3 linked regions of the Bombyx mori genome follow. The protein of the gene in region 3 purifies or fractionates together with the protein of the main gene of each other region. This does not show direct contact. Links are inferred from orthologs where the notes say so. Each region holds a gene or a part of one and is shown on either strand. Other genes may lie near its edges.

The links.
Region 1: the proteins of Loqs (region 3) and Ago1 purify together in Drosophila melanogaster (affinity purification with western blotting; 4 studies listed by BioGRID, with this or other methods). This does not show direct contact. The link is inferred for Bombyx mori from reciprocal best matches to the Drosophila melanogaster genes loqs and AGO1.
Region 2: the proteins of Loqs (region 3) and dcr-2 purify together in Drosophila melanogaster (affinity purification with western blotting; 9 studies listed by BioGRID, with this or other methods). This does not show direct contact. The link is inferred for Bombyx mori from reciprocal best matches to the Drosophila melanogaster genes loqs and Dcr-2.

Annotation. Positions count from the first base shown.
Region 1 is NC_085111.1:12,337,734-12,341,397, forward strand, and holds the end of Ago1 (argonaute 1), read right to left. Parts: intron 2,763-3,664; coding exon 2,614-2,762; intron 2,054-2,613; coding exon 1,876-2,053; intron 1,269-1,875; coding exon 1,077-1,268; intron 735-1,076; coding exon 426-734; downstream 1-425.
Region 2 is NC_085129.1:9,461,022-9,465,407, reverse strand, and holds the start of dcr-2 (dicer-2), read right to left. Parts: upstream 2,910-4,386; coding exon 2,801-2,909; intron 2,083-2,800; coding exon 1,955-2,082; intron 1-1,954.
Region 3 is NC_085114.1:6,389,941-6,392,367, forward strand, and holds part of Loqs (loquacious), read right to left. Parts: intron 2,369-2,427; coding exon 2,238-2,368; exon of another isoform or gene 1,923-2,237; intron 1,805-1,922; coding exon 1,635-1,804; intron 678-1,634; coding exon 543-677; intron 456-542; coding exon 207-455; 3' UTR 1-206.

The sequences.
Region 1 (3,664 bases), on a different chromosome or scaffold from region 3:
AGATAATTCGACGCTTGAAAGACAAACGTGACTAAGCGACAATGCGTGAACTTTACAGTAGACTAATTTAAAGTTGAAATACCTGAAAAAAAAATTATTATTACTACTATTATACTATTTTAACGAATCTAGCTGTGGGATTGATATGATTTTAATAGACCTAGAAATATTTTTTTTTTTTGCGCATCGATAGCGGTTATTGCCTATCGTTTATGTACAAAGCAGTTATTGTCGCTTAGTCACGTTTGCCTGTCAAGCGTCGAATTATGTTTGAGTTGGCGGGGCGCGCGCGGACCCGTCGGCTTTAGGCGAAGTACATGACCTTCTTGACGTTCGAGAACTGTTTCTCCGCGATACAATCGACGGCGGAACGTTGGGAGTGAACGTTTGTGTTTCGTTAGATATGTCTCTATGAGTCGTCTGCGTTAGGCGAAGTACATGACCTTCTTGGTGACGGCGTGCACGGTGATGGCGCGCGCCATGGCGCCGGGCGTGCGGTCCTCGCTGCAGGCGGACTGGTGGCTGCCCTCGCCCGAGTCGTGCTCCTTCTCGACGAGGTGGTAGCGCGCGCGGAAGGCGACCAGGTGCGCGTAGTAGGCCGGCGCCGGGATGGACACGGAGCGCGTGCAGCGCACGTACGTGTGGCACAGCTGGTACGTGAGGCACTGCAGCTCGTCCGAACCGAAGTGGTTGTCGTCCCACAGCACGTGGTAGTGCGACGGCCGCGACGTACCCTGTCGGCGACACAACAACATCACTATGCCATCTAGTTACTTAGTATCAGTCAATTCAATACGCGCGCATTGCTGTTTAATCCTCAAACACAGCCCACCGAGTTTCTCGCCGGATCTTCTCAGTGGGTCGCGTTTCCAATCCGTTGGTAGATTCTGCGAAGCGCGGCTCTTACAACTATAAGTATAGTTACAACGGCTGTCCCAACCTTCAAACCGAAACGTATTACTGCTTCACGGTAGAAATAGGCAGGGTGGTGATACCCACCCGCGCGGACTCAGAAGAGGTCCTAGCATCAGTATACCAGATTAGAGAACGGCCGATTGAATCGTATTGGCACGTACCTGGATGCCCTGGTGACTGCACAGGTAGAAATCGAATTCGGTGGGATGCGTGATGCCGAGGTCGACCGTGGTCCCGGCCGGGATGTTCCCGGACTTGCCGGACTGCTCCTTCTTGTCGGCGCAGAACAGCCGCGTGTGATGTCGCTTCTGTACCACGATGAAAGTGATGCCCGGCTTGTACTCCGCTTCCAGCTGTAACCAATATGATATTATACGTGACTACTATTGAAACTATTCAGTAGCATAAAGTACGTTGTTACATTCTTTTGTACAGGTTACAATTATCCCGAATGTTATTATTTAGGTCATTGACCTTAATTAGCCACAGAGTCACGAGATCCGACTTCGATTGAATTGGTCGTATCTTATATGGTTTCCCGCGTGTATGACAATAATAACAAGATAAAACTCTTAGCTTTATCCTAATCTGGAAGATATAATTATAGGCGATTACTTTAAATAAACGATTCATAATAAAGAAACATCTTTATAGTTAAGCAATAATTAAAATTTGTCTCAAACACCAGGTACAAAAGTAACTTAGGCACTATCCAGATGACTATTACGAACAGAGTATTACGTATGAAATTATATTTACTAAACGGTTTGTTTTATGTAACCTCTGCATTAAAGTACATCAATTAATGTCTTGTTCTGAGGTAGCACCCAGCCTTCAAAACTTGTTTGGTAATACTGCACTTTTCACGACATAAATAAAATAACATATAAGTGATAATGATTGGGTTAAAATAATGAATAAACGTAAAGTCAATAAAATGATTAATAAAATAATAATGACCTTGATACAAGCCTCCCTCACAGCAGTCAGCTCATGCTGTAAGACGTGCAGGAACTGGCCTTCGGAGATGCCGTCGCGATACATGATGATCCGGTGGGGTTTGAATCCGCCGGTGCTCTTGTAAAACATGATGAGCAGCTCCTGGACCATGCTGCTCATTTCGTGAACTATCTCTTGCCTGTAAAAGGATTTTATTGAATATAATTTTTCGCGTAGATGGTCAAAGACCTCACGTATGACCTCACAGCTCGCTTTGTTCGTAAGCGATTCCCAGGGCTCAATTTAAAAACCTTCATTTAGGTTTTATTGCAGTGTGAAACTAGTAATGAAGAAAATCTGTATGGCTTGTTTTGCACCAATATAATTGGTAGGACGGTGGTACCTCCCGATTCGAACTGGAAAACACGCTCCACTAATCTACTTCTAAAGTACTAAATTTATTTTACGTTTTATAAATTTCTGAATAGACCTTATATGATGTATCTTTAAGGAAACTTGCTCTTGCGAATTAAGCAAAAAATTACTAATTAAACTATTTAACATTCTTAAACACTAAGTAAACGTTTTTTTCAGTTCAACAAATTCAAATCTAACAACAACAAAAGTGACATCCCAGATTTGTCCCTATTCTAACTCTAGTCTCTATTCCCGCCAATCTACTGTAGTTGGAACAACTCTACCGGCGAATAGGTAGGGAAATAATAATATACGACTACGTAATATGGAAGGGCTGGTTACCGGTGCTGCTGTACCCTGACGGTGGCGGCGTACCGCGACGGATGCGCGTCCATGGAGCCGACGACGGCCGCGATGGAAGGCTTCTTGTTGTCACCGGCGGGCGGGTGCGTCACGTCCACGCCCAGGAAGATCACGGGCTCGTTGAACACCTGCGCGACACAAACGACAGAATTAGACTGTTAAAAAGAACTAGTCCCCCCCCCCCCAATAGTCGAAATTCGACTATAATTAATAGAAATTATAAGTTTGAACATTATTAAGATTCTATTGTCAAGGACTATTAAAATTCTATAGTCACCGATTTCGCTAAGACTACACTTTATTTAGACAAATCTTAATAATGACAAACAATATTTATTCTATACTCAATTTGGCCACATACTATAAGCAATAAGAAAAGTTTGACAAAAAACAAAGAGTATGCATGCGTGTGCGTGTCAAATACACGGTAGTGCGCATAATGTTTTTTTATCGATTTAATAAATAAAAATGCATAATTAACAAAAATATTAACATTCTACACTCCTTCTCTATATTCTCTATAGGTGTGGGAAATTTCATACTCTTCCGTCTGCGCAATTTTCGTAAAGAGGGGTACAAAGTTTTTGCTTCACGTATTAATATATAGATAAACTATTACGGACCACTTCTATCTATCTCGCTCTAATAATGTTCTTCATGACGCATGTGATGAATGACATTATGACATATCCTTCAAACGATTTAAGAGGTAGCGTTAGGTTGCTGTCGATGCTGATGTCCATGAGCGACGGCTGCCGTACATCAGGGTAACAACATACACTAATTTGTTGGTTGCAACCGAACGCCACTAGATGTCGTTCTACACTTCCACATGCGTTCTAATAACAACTGTAGAAAAGTTTCACGGGTTGAACGAAGATCATAAGCCTTAGAAGTTGGATCGATGTAAATTAAAAATTGATCAACAATAATTGCCCTGATGTGTGTGTGAATGAATAAAAAATTTGGAATTGAAAATTTCAGCAATAGGTCAACAGCCTAATCGGCACGATCAATGTTGCATTCGATC
Region 2 (4,386 bases), on a different chromosome or scaffold from region 3:
TCAGCCTTAATAAAGGAGTGTAAAGTTCATAGTTCAATAAATTTCATTCGATTCGTCTTCTTTTTTTTTAACTAGTAGGTGAGCTCACAGGGCTCAAACCTGACGACGTTTCTAACACGAACCCTAACAAGAGCCGTACTTTGCAGAATCTACCACCGGATCGGAAACGCGACCCACTGAAAGATCCAGCGAGAAACTCAGTGGGCTGTGTCTGTGGGTTAATTTACTCGTCGAGCCCTTCGTTGCAAGCGACGGGTTCGACAAGAACGATGACTGGATTCCTGGAACCAGTACACTTCAGTGTTTAAATTGTAGTTTGACATATTCAAGTACACGGTGTGAAAATTATGCATTATACTGTAAAAAAATAAAAAAAAACATTCGGTCGGTTTTTAATTTAAGAATGGGCCGATAAGTTTATCCCCAAAAAAGTTTGCGTGAAATCGTTTACGAGCTTCTAGATTCCTCAGTCGTCGCCATCGTACTGTGCAAGAACAACCGGGTCGGCGGTGTATCGCGTTCCGACCCGGCAGGCTGGTTCGGACCTATATAGTCTAGTCTCTAGTGAGCTATCCCGAACACCAGCGGCGATAGTAAACGATCGCCTTGACGACCCGTCGGCGTCCTGGGGTAGGCGCTGCGAGTATGTCTGTAGTAGTAGCTCAGCTATTACGGACACGCCTTCTAATTACACAACTACAACAATATAAAGAGCTAGCTCACGCCAAATGAACGATTTGACTACAACGACTACTAGGGTTGAAAATGAAGATTCTTATCAATACGCACTATTCTACACGTCCAGATTCGTTGTATGGACACGATTTTACATATTTCCTATAATCCTTCTTTACGAACATGGTCTCAGAGAACAGCTCCAAGCCAAGAAAAAAAAACTTGTAAAAACCTTTTACGTGACAAGCTACGATTGATCAGCGACCAACAACGGAAAGTAATTGGCAATTTGGATTATCATGCTGTAGCGACACTCGTACATACAAATGGTCGCGCGGACTCCGTCTAGAGCAGAGGCTTGTAACGAAAGGGTTAATTTTAAACTAAAAGAAAATTTGGGAAAATAAAATAGCTTATATGCCTGCTCTCTATACTTTATATGGTACTAGCGACCCGCCCTCGCTTCGCTTTGGAAACATGAAATTTAATTTTTGATTATTTACGATATCACATTAAGAACCTCAAAAAGAACAGTATTTCTCCACTATTTAATGGATGTTATTATACATATAAACCTTCCTCTTCAATCACTCTAATAATACATTATGTATCTAATAAATCATTATGTCCGTGAATACATTGAGTCATGTTCACGACATGCTTTGAAATGGTTAATTAAATGAATTATTTTAAACGCTACAAACATTTACCGGTTGGCATGAAACCTGACTTATCCGTAGCGAAAAACTGCTGAATGCGAATATACAAACCTCTTTAACTTAGGTTAAAATATGTCAGTTAAAATACACAACTTTTCAACCCTGAATTACGTATAAGTTGTTATTTCAAACTCAGTTAGTTGGTAATGTAGTTTAATAGTGAATAAATCACAACCTTCTCAATGATAATTTCAATTTTGAATTTAAGATAGTTTTTATCTTTATCTATACATACTTGAGGTTGGTCAATTTACAGATAACTAGTGCTCATTGCTCAGACCTCACCAAATGAAGAATGAAGGTTCCTTTTAAGGACCTTTTTAATGAAGGTTCTAATCAGCTTTATGAAGAATCTGTAAAGTTAGGGCTATACCCCTAGCATTGAGGATATCTATGAGTGACAGCAACAACAAACAATCGGTTGGTCAGTAAACTTTATCTGCCTTGTATGACACTAAATTTTTTCTATCAACGTGGTTGAATGGTGACTCTGATAACAGATGAACAGGTTTACTGACTTCTTATACTAATTTTTATAACATAAAAAAATGTGTAGGCACCTGTTGATTTACTAACGGAACTGTGTTTACAAGAAAGAAACTGCGTTTCCCACCTTCTCCCCAAGGCTTTTTTAATTGGTTACGGAACTTTTTTATAAGCCTCTGAGCAATAAAAGTTTTTCCAGAACCTGAAAATAGCATTATCAAAATTTTATACAAAATTTTAGCTTTTAAATTTTTTCTGAGAAATGTGTATTTAGAAGCTTCTGTTATGCACCATTATGAGTTTTGTATGCATTTCCAGTTATATTATTATTATAGTAAATATTACTGCCAGCTTTATGTTACTTAGCAGGTCATCATCACAAATTGTTGTGTTTTGTAATAGAATCAATCTTTAATCTATTTAATAAAAGAGACAACTAGCAATTTGGAAAATGAAAAGTGGAATCTTTTGTTGGTTACTCTTTGGGCTGAGAAATACCATGTCTAGTGATATGACACATAATGATAAACAATATTGAAACACTGTTAAATGATGATGCAATATTTTTTATTTAAAACTAAAATAAATTTTCTGGGATAGTATAATAAAACCTGAGATGAAGTTTCACCCACATTATATGTAGAATTTATGAATTCTATATTAATCTCTCAGGGGAAGAATTTTAGATGTTAATTATGTATGGTACCCAGAGTTGCATACCCAAGCTATTAAATCCAAAAGGCATGCCTGGTGTTTTATTCTTGTTAAGAAAATGTGTATTCTGTAAAAATGTTTGTTCATTGTTTGTCAATATTGTTGTACCTTTTGTCATAAAAATCTATTTGTGTGTATTAACCTTATTGCACAACAGTCTGTTTAAGGGTAACTATCAGTACTATATCACAGTTCACAGTACTTACCAGTAGGCAAATGAATTATTGTATTTTTTGAACTTGCTATTTCTTCCAGTATTGCTTGATAGGGGCGAGCTTTCTGTTCGTGATACTGTATTCCTTCTGTTGTAGTCATTTTACTTGTGCATGCAGAATTTGGAAGTTCTAAATTATATTATATATTTATAAATCAGTTTACTAATGAAAATATCATATTTTAGAATGTTTGCGTTTGTTGTTATTTGAACAGAATGTATTATATATAAATTAGGTAAATAATTATGAAATAAAACTCATATTGTCGACATACCTATTGTTATTTATACGACATTTTTTATTTTGTTATTTTCCGAACCAGTTTTGTTTGAAAAAAATATAATAAATCAAAAAAGACAACAAATAAAATTAAGGGATGAATTTTAAATACTAAAATGTATGTTTATTTGGATATAGTAGATAGGTATGTACCTAGTAATATACTCTTGATAAATGCAAGAAAAATAAACTTACCGGTTACATACCAGCACTGTCATAAAGTATGTTTAATAGTAAGCATTTAATTTTAATCTTAGCCGGTACGACTACGAAACCTTTCTAAGCTTAAAAAAATAAAATATAAACTTCAAGAGATTTCTTAGGTCACGTTCCTCTTTGAATGTCTATGACTACAACTTTACTACGTACACCAAGCCTCAAAAAGTAAAGTAGGGGAAGTACCTTATAGAGATAACACAATAATTTGACAGTGGCAGCATTAAATGCTAAATATAATAAAAAAATAAATTAAATGCTAAACGCAAATGTACCGTTTGATGTTCATTTTTTTTTTAAAGTGTAAAAGTGTCCGTTGAGTACAACATAAGTTAGAAGTGAAAATATTTTAAAAATAGCGCCATAAACTACCACACTTCACTTCAACCCAACACACTTCATTCTTTTTAAAACTGCTGTATAACATAATCACATTAGTGCTATTTCGGTAAGTCGGTATTTCGTTAAGTAAGTAATTTCTAAATAACTATTGTTTTCGGTTTAAGTATGTAAAGTTAGTAGGTACACACATTACCTCCTTTCTCTTTCGAGAACAATTCATATAGTCCCTGAAAAAATATTAGTGATAGGCTATTTTTTGTATTCTAGATTTTCAGCATTTATAACAAAAATAATTGAGATGTCTCGAGTCCAGAATACCATGCAATATTCGAATGCAGCGTCAGTACTGGAGTAGTTTACTGGATTCTTTTACGTTTCGTTTACGTTACGTATTTCGTTTACGACTTTAAACCGTTATTTCAAACTAAAGATAAAGCAAGTTAAAAATTGTTAAGAAACATTTCGACGTTTAGGTGCGTATTGTTGTTACTCGAATCAGTTCTCAACTACTCTGTCTTTAAATAGTCTATTAAATGAAGAATAATTGAGTACTTAAGTGAGTATTCGAGCAGGTATCAGGTAGTTTTCCAATGAGGAAGTTTCCAATCACATAAAAATAATAATATAAATATTTTATATTATATATATTATATTATATTTTAATAATAATAATAAAAAAATTATATAAATTTAAAGACAATACAAAAATATTAAACCTAGTGAAAAAATTACTTGAATAT
Region 3 (2,427 bases):
ATTGGTACATAGATGCGTACTATTAATGCCATTATTCATATGGAAAGTGATGCAACAATATGAAGGCTCAAAACCTAACGACATCAATACAAAACACATAGTGATATGGCCTGCATTAAAATTAAATCTCATAACGTTAGAGCCCATAGATCAAATGCATAGGTCGTCGCACTGGTCTTTGCTGATGTCGTAAGATGTTGAAAATTTCACTTTTTGGTCATAATCTTGAGATACTCCAAGGCGTTCTGAGCAGCAGATGACTGGGCATCCTTGCTGGTGAGGCCGGCTCCGTGGCATACAGCTACTGGCAATGTGGAAAGCTGGACAAGACACTGACATAGACCAGTCATAGACTTTTCTTCTATGTCGACATAGGTCACCTCAAAAGATTGCTCTGATGCTATTTCTTGCAAGAACTGAACGAAGTTAAAATCCTTATTGTTTAGTGGTGTCACCTGTTTTATAATTAAATAAATTAATATTTCAAATGACAACATTCATGCCAAAAATTGATACTTTCATGCAAAACAACTGTTTCATACCTGCAACTTGGCCAGGTTGGGGCCAACAGACTGTTTGAGATGTTTGTGGAACTGCGACACTTTATGGCTATGGCTCGTGGTCAATGTGGAGATTTTACTATCTTTCAAATCGGCATAACGGGCCGCAACACCGCCCTATAACATAAAAAAAAAACTTTTATTGTCAACCGACTCTTCTGTTGTTTCAGGCCTGTAACCTAATCGAAAGATAGTAAAATACCTGGCCAAGTGCGAACAACAATAACAATTTTAGGGGAATGTTCCAAAAATCAATTGATGGATATTGACAACTATTACATGAAGTTAATTATTTATAATAATTGAAATAAACTGTTGATGGTAAGTACATTCAAACAACACCAAGACAACTTATCAAATAATTGTAATTAATTTTCAGGTAATTATTCTGTTGATACACAAGGCATTATATTACACTCTGGCTTCACAATTTTTTTTAACTGACTATAAATTATTCCTCTTTTTTCATACATACAAATACCAATTTTACTAGTAAAAAAACAAACTGCTATTGCCAGTCTGGCTCATATACTTTTATTATTAATAAAACTTATCTAGCCTCAATATGGTTGAATCAGACAGAGAACATGAAATATGAACTTTAACATATGCATTCGGAGTTACAAGTCTAACAGGCAAATCACCTAGTACTCTGAAGTTACTTTTAAAGTTCCTGAGTAATATTAGACCTTGAGTCCGCGCGGGTTTGTACCACTACCCTGCTTATTTCTGCCGTGAAGCAGTAATGCGTTTCGGTTTGAAGGGCGGGGCAACCGTTGTAACTATACCTGAGACCTTAGAACTTATGTTTCAAGGTGGGTGGCGCATTCACGTTGTAGATGTCTATGGGCTCCAGTAATCACTTAACACCAGGTGGGCTGTGAGCTCGTCCACTCATAGAAGCAATAAAAAAAAAAAAAAAACTTTTTAGTTTTAGTTGTGTTATCAATGTCATCAAATTGTGAATACAAGCCCTTAATCAAGCAGTTCCATTTCAGCATCGGAAACAGCTCCCTTATATCCTATATTGAAGTGAGTTTATGCGATATAGTAGTAAAATTAATATTACTTTACCTCATCATCATTCTGGAAGGATTCTGGTGGGTTGTCCTGTAAGGCCTGCCACATCTTGTAGGCAGCTTGCCGTTTAGCTAATTTCTTTGACTTGCCTGTACCAACTTCACGGCGCTTGAGCAATGTGCAAATGATCGTAAATTGACGTTCATGGGGCAAACCTGAAACTGCTACAATTTTTGTAGTATTGTAGACCCACATTCTTATGTTTCACATAAATTTTACTATCAATTATCAATGATTTATTAATATGTAAAATTATATTAATGTAAAAAATATATTTCTTTTCTATTTATTTAGATCTAAATATACTTAAGTATACAGTGTTAGTTGTTATCAAATATTACAAATAAAGTAATAGAAATGTACAACTTCTATTATATTATATCATTTTATAGTTTCCTTAAATAATATACAACATAACATAATAATATAATGGACAACCAAATGACTACAAGAAGACTCAGAAGAATAGTGCATATAATTTATTTTTTTCTCAAAATTATGGTTGAATGTCTAACTTTAAAAAAAAGTCACTTAAGCTAATAAATAAAAAGCCCTTGCTAAAGTAAGTACCTAAGTAAAATTAGTACGAAAACTTACGTCTATTAACATTGTCATCGTTTTCAGCATGGTAAGATGGTGGTGGCCAGAATCGTGACATACACAACTCCTGAAGCCATCCAACAGGATTACCCATTAGTTTATCTTCAAATGTAGGTACTACAGCACCACTAAAATTGTTTTTTTTTTTATATTAATTGCATTGCAAATAATAATAAAAATATTGTGA